Canis lupus familiaris: one gene and its partner. The protein of the gene in region 2 purifies or fractionates together with the protein of the main gene of each other region. This does not show direct contact. Links are inferred from orthologs where the notes say so. Each region holds a gene or a part of one and is shown on either strand. Other genes may lie near its edges.

The links. Proteins that work in one complex are often made in the same cells at the same time.
Region 1: the proteins of L3MBTL2 (region 2) and MAX purify together in Homo sapiens (affinity purification with mass spectrometry; 6 studies listed by BioGRID and IntAct, with this or other methods). This does not show direct contact. The link is inferred for Canis lupus familiaris from reciprocal best matches to the Homo sapiens genes L3MBTL2 and MAX.

What each region holds. Positions count from the first base shown.
Region 1 is NC_049229.1:39,737,862-39,741,609, forward strand, and holds the start of MAX (protein max), read right to left. Parts: upstream 2,443-3,748; 5' UTR 2,428-2,442; coding exon 2,290-2,427; intron 2,152-2,289; coding exon 2,125-2,151; intron 1-2,124. UniProt on the Homo sapiens protein: Transcription regulator. Forms a sequence-specific DNA-binding protein complex with MYC or MAD which recognizes the core sequence 5'-CAC[GA]TG-3'. The MYC:MAX complex is a transcriptional activator, whereas the MAD:MAX complex is a repressor.
Region 2 is NC_049231.1:24,958,593-24,961,115, forward strand, and holds part of L3MBTL2 (lethal(3)malignant brain tumor-like protein 2), read right to left. Parts: intron 2,453-2,523; coding exon 2,218-2,452; intron 2,017-2,217; exon of another isoform or gene 1,961-2,016; intron 1,742-1,960; coding exon 1,676-1,741; intron 732-1,675; exon of another isoform or gene 705-731; coding exon 588-704; exon of another isoform or gene 512-587; intron 209-511; coding exon 96-208; 3' UTR 1-95. UniProt on the Homo sapiens protein: Putative Polycomb group (PcG) protein. PcG proteins maintain the transcriptionally repressive state of genes, probably via a modification of chromatin, rendering it heritably changed in its expressibility.

The sequences.
Region 1 (3,748 bases), on a different chromosome or scaffold from region 2:
TTTATTATTTATACTAAATGGTGGGAAATTGATGTATTCGCAGAGGGAAAAAACCCAAAATCCATTTTACCCCACTTGTTCACGATAATTGTTTGATATTCTATAAAATTTATCTATTGCTTCTTCTCTCCATACTATGGTGATTATTTTATGCCAGATAATATTTAAAAGTCTCAGCAAGTAGAGGTGTCAAATTAAAAACAGAGGGTCAAATTCACTCCCACTGCCCACCTCCCAAAATCAACGAGAAAAAAAACCTAGGCACCTTACCACCAAACTAAAAATATCTAGAAAAAACAATGACATTAGCATTCTAGGAGAGTGGAAACATTTTAATAATTTAATAAAGCAATTTACATCAATACCCTTGTGGATGGATATTTTGAAAAGCAGAAAGCTTTCAAGAGCTGTAAGCCAAACTTTCACAAAGAAAACTTTCTCTCACTGGAAAGCCAATGTAATTCCAAGTCAAATAATGATTCTGCAAAGCATGCCTAACCAATCCCTATCCTCCAATCCTGATCAAGCCCTGGGGCACATTTTATAACTGGAGACTTGGAAAAAAAAATGTTTTAAATAGACTGGATCCCAAACATGAAACTCCACGTTCACAATAAGGATCACAGTGACTAGAAAAAAAGAACTGAATTTCCAAATAAACACGTAAAGGTAAGTGTCTGACAATATATCAAGGAAAGATAAAACAAACAAACCTTTTATAGTGACTTTTACCCAGGTATAATTTTTAAAATCTTCTGGAACAACTGCATACTCTAGATTTTACAGCAAATATCAGCTCTCAATAAACAATATTTTTTCTTAATGCCTATCTGCATGGACAACCTATAGAAACTTTGCTTGCTCTAAAAAAGAACAGATATAAGGAAGAGGACTTGCTTTTATCCTGGGATACCAGAGGTACCAAAGTGTCATCCTGCATATTCTAACAAGTTCCCAAACAACTTGGATGTCCCAAACATCATTTCAAAAATCAGAAAAATAACATAAAAATCTGGGTTTCTAGACTTTCTTTAAAAATAAGATCTGGAAACAGTGAGCCCTTACTCCCACATAACACCCCCCCCCCACCGGAGTTTAGTGATTGCCTTTTCAGATGAGACATGTGCATTCCAGAACCCAGTCCTCACCTCCACTCTTTATTCCCAACGATCTTACTGCCTGGGCTCCCCAGAGGCATCTGAATTTTTGACCCCCATTCTATAAACTTCGTACTGTTCCCATCGGTCAAATGTTAGACACTCTGATGTATTTCTCTTCCTCTCTCTGACTCTGATTTTTTTTATGTCTATCTTTTTTTTTTTTCTCTAATCTATTCATGGTACTGTCCCAAACTGGAAAGGCATGAGAGTAGTATCTATCCAAATCCACGGAACCGTCTACTGACAACATTAATACCAAACCCTGAGAAATTTACTGATAACATTGCATGTCTCAACCACCACCTTTTAGCAAATCTATCTCTGCAATGCCACCTTTCCTTGACAATTTTTCCATTTTCTTTTATACCTCTCCTTCAACTCAATCAGACCAAAATAAGCAGTTTGTGACGCTTTCATATTCAACCTTTGGTTCCTCTACATTTCTAATTTCTGCATTAGAATGATACCAGGTTGTGCCAGATTCTATAGGTCTACAGCAGTCACATGACCACGTGACTTTTGGTTAAAGATGATTTTTTGCATGTGGCTTCAGCTTCACATAACTGTGCATGTATGGTTTAGAATCTGCTTGTGCCAAACGAAATCTGACCACTTTGCCCCAAAATAATACAATTTACTTCAGAATGACATTTCTCATTTTACACTTACATAGTGACATCTAGATCCCCCACCTGGAAACTACAGAAAGAGTCATTTCTCTGCAAACAGCTCCTTTCACTCACCTACACTCACTGAAACACCGGAGAGTCTAGGATGAGGAGATTTGAAAACCCGCCCCCCCGCCCCCCACCTAGAACCCCAGAAAACTGCCCCGCCTCACCTTAGCGGTTACAGAAGAGTTTACTACAGTATTAAAAACAATAGGACAATCTTTTTCTCTCTGACCCCAAAAAGGACTAGAACTGAACGGAAATGAAAATGAAATGGAGAGTAGGAGACGTACCGCAGATTGAAACCTCGGTTGCTCTTCCTGGAATAAGAGAGAAAAAAAAATAGAAAATATAGAAGTTATTTTTACACTTCACATTCAATAATAAGAAAGAAAATGCCGGCGGCGGAGGAAGCGGCGGGTGGGGAGTCAGCCAGACCCCCCTCCCTCCCTCCTCACCCCACGCCCCCATCCCCCCAGCGGGATCCGGTAGCCGGGCAGGGGGGGTCCCGAGCGCCGCCCCTCCTTCCGGGATCCGACTCCGGCCGGAGGGGGTTCAGAGCACTGTCTCCTCCCCTCGCACCCAGCTCTGGGCATCTGGGCACTCCCACCCCCTCTCCGCCCTCCCTCACCCGCCAGGATCCGTGGGTCACGGGAAGAGGGTGATCGCAACCGAGGGGGGCAGGTCCCGAGCGGCGTCCCCTTCCCCGGGAGCGGACAATGGATCCCGGGCGCACCCTGTCCCGGACCCCCGGATCCTGAGCGGGATAGGGTGGGAGCCGGAGGCAGCAGCACCTTCCTCCACCGGGGGAGGTGGGGGGTCCCAAAGGCCGCGTGTCTCCACCCCACCTCCAGTCCCAGAAGGCCGCTCCGGCTAGGAGCCTGGAGGGGAGCGAGCCCGGAGCGCGGCGGAGGCGGTCCCAGCCGGGGGAGGGGAGGGGAAGGGGAAGGAGGAGGCGGCTGCCCGGCCCCCTGCCGCCGTCGCCCCGCTGAGAGCCCCGGCCGCTGTCCCCGCCTGACAACCCGCACGGGAAGGAAGAAGCCCCGGGACTCACGTCGCTCTCCACCTCGATGTCATCGTTATCGCTCATTTCCTACGGCCCAGGGAGCGGCCACTGCAGCGGCGGCGGGGAAGGGGGAGGGGTGGAGGGGAGGGGGAAGTCACCGACAACAACAAGCCGAGTCCCCCCACACACACACACACACACTCACTCACTCACTCGCTCTCTCACTCACACACACACACACACAACACGGGCGAGAACCACCTCCTCACTGCAGCACCGGATCAACGGCGGCACGCACGCCCGGTCGGCCCCCTGCCACGTGACCCGGTCCGTCACGCTGGGGCCGCCGAGACTTGTAGTTGTCTTCCCTTTGACTGACGGCCCGGCTGGCTCCGGAAAAACTACAAATCCCAAAAGGAGCTGCACACGGCCGTCGCCGGTCCAGCCTGCTGACGGAGCCCAGAGCGCCTGCGTGTCCTGTGGAGGGGGGCGGAGAGCGAAGCGAAGCGGTGTCTGCTGGGAGTTGTAGTCCGCAGACCGCGAGTTGTCAGGAGGTTTTCTTCCAGAGGCTTGCAGAGGAGGCTGCTGGGAAGACAGGACACGTGGAGGGAGCTGGGGCTCCAGGAGCCCGGCACTGTCTGAGCGCCGGGCGCCGGGCCCAGGGGACAGGGTGGAGGCTCTGGGGGAGTAGCTGGCTGCCTAAATAACGCTGCCTCTCCTTGGTGCGACTGGTTTTACTTTGTCTTCCTGATGCCTGAGTCGCTCTGCATTGCGCCCTGGGGCGTAACCCGCTTGGGCCGGGGGGGGGGGGGGGGGTTGCGGGGGGGGGTAGCCTGCTGCGGGGGACCTAGGGGGCGCGGCTCGGAATGCCCACGCGAACCTTTGGGATCTGGCAGTGGGGAGGTGTCAGT
Region 2 (2,523 bases):
ACCTGGCAGGACTTGGGCAAAAAAGGCTTGTCTCCACACTAAAGCAGGGTGAAGGGGTGGTGGCAACAGAGGAGCCCCGGGCTGGTGGGGAAGGCTCAGTCGTCTGTCTCCTGTTTGATGTTCTCGATGGGAACGGGCAGCTCTGGACTCGGGGCTTTGTCGGGCGTGGCCATGTCTAGATGCTCTTCCTTCACCTGCACAGCAATGACTAAAGAGGGAGGGAGGTGGGGAGGGCGGGAGAACAGAGTGAGTGTGCGTGAAACCCTGGGAGGGGCAGGGGGCTCTGGCTCCCTAGGAACGGGGGCCCTCAGGACGTGGTGGGGAGGTGGGAGTGGCACCTTCCCCCCGAGGGGCAGGCAGTAGAGATGGAGAGGGCCCGGCTGGAGATGCGCGGCTCCGTTCAGAGTTGGGGGCGGGTGTTTGGGAAGCTCTCCAGGCCCAGTGGTCCAAGGAGGACTGCTTGGTGCCCGGCAAAGTCCCTTCACACTTGACTCTCCTCTTCTGTGCCCAGGTGGGGAAGGAGGCGGGCCGCCTCTGAGCACTGGAGCAGGCCGGCCCTGTCTTGACCCCGCCCGGGAGGCTCTTACTCTCTTCAGGAACAGGATCCGATGAGCTCTTCTCTGTGGCCTGCAGGTCATCCTCCAGCAGGGGCTTCTTGGACCCCTGTCTGAGGGGCCGGGTCTTGGTCGGTGGTATTCTTTTCCCTTTGAATAAACACAGAATGAAACCCAGCACAGGGCAGTATCCATGTGGGGCTCGATGGCTGGGTGTCCTCCAGTGGTGAGCAGAAGGCAGGTGCCACTCTGCAGGGGAGCAGAGCGTGAGCTCTGATGCCGCCCCTCGGGGCCGGGTGCCGACGCTCAGGGAGGTTCTCTCCTGTAGCAGGTTAAGCCCCCCAGTTAGGCTTGCTGAGCTTCTGTCCCTCTTCCAGTCTTTTCTTCACCTGTGAAGTGACTTTCCCAGCCCTGCTAGTGTAGACGGCACGAGGTCTTCCCACATGATCAGCTCCATACCCTCACCGGACCCTGATCCTGCCCAGGGACCACGCCGGCTTCCTCCCCATCCTGTTTCGGACCACCTCTTCTCTGGGTGGCGCCACATCATGGAGAGCATGTTGCTGCCACAGGCCGGCAGCTCCGAGGGCTAGCTTTACCTCCTCCCACCCCACTCCACCTGCTGTCCCCCTCAAGCTGAGCCCGCACAGGGCCCAGGATCTGTTAAGAGCAGAGCCCCACCTAAGGAAATGATCCTGAAGCTTCCACTCCTGAGGGTCCCCAGGGAAGGATGACAGGCTTGGGGAGAAGGATGCTGCCCCCGCCATCTTACTTTCAAAAGGCAGTTGTGCACTGCCGATGGGGTCGCGTTGACTTCTGACCACAGGGCAGAAGGGCTGGGGATTCCTCCCCCTTCTCTCCTTTACAAATACTGTTTCTTGCTTTTTTCCTCGGGATCCTGACCCCTGCCAGAGATTCAAGACTCCCTATCTGTACCTGAGTCCCTTAAGACACAGGCTGATGGGCCTGATGGGGCGGAAGGGCAAAGGAGAGGAGATGGAGGGACCAGACCATGGAGGGTGCTACCCAAGCGGCGACTCCCCCTCTGCTCCCAGGGACATAGGCCCAGCTGATCCCAAGGCCCACCCCAGCCCTGGCCGCTTCTTCAGAGCATCACTTACTTTTCTTCCCAAACTGTTTCTTTTTCTTCTTTGTGGCCTCTTTGGCCTTCAGAGGTGTGGTCGGCTCTGTTGTTGAAAGACAGAGGGAAGAGGTTAAGAGAGTTCTGAGAGGACACAGTACAGGCACATCCCGAGACACCTACCCATCCCTCAGCCTCCCTTACACACGGGACACCCCAAGAAGGAAAGCCAAAGTTGAGTGAGAATGGGGGAGGGACTGGAAGCAACTGTCCCTTCATCCCACCCTCGTCACTAGGGGTGCTCCGAGGGACCTGGGGGGTTTACCTGGGTGCACAAGGGCACGAGCATATGACAGAGTGGGCAAGATCAAGGAAGGCGCTCTGCAGGCCAGAGGGAGAGGGAGACAGACAAGTCAGGAGCGGGACAGGGGACACAAGGGCCACTCTTTAGTGAGCAGTGGTCCAGGAGACCAATCGCTCTCATGCCAAAGAATGAGGTAGGCACGGGGCAGGGGGAGCAGTTGACAGGAAGGAAAAAGAAAAGGAAAGTTGAGGGTCCCCTGAGGCCGTGAGAGCCCAGACCTGCGGCCACAGGTGGCTGGAGCTGGTAGCCGGTGAGCTCACACCAGCCGACGGGGTAGATGTCCGGAGACTCACAGTCCACCCACTGGTCATACTCGCTGTCCCAGCCATCAAAGTGGATGCTGAGGAGTCTGTGCACCACCCGCTTCACCGTAGCCACGCAGATGAGCCGGGGCTCCATCAGGTCCACGGCCTCCAGCTTCATGCCCACCTTGAAGCCGTGGTTGGGGCAGTCCTGGGAGGGGGAAGAAGCGGTGACCATGGCAGCCAGATCCCGGCCCCAGGGGCCAAACCGGGGAGAGGGAG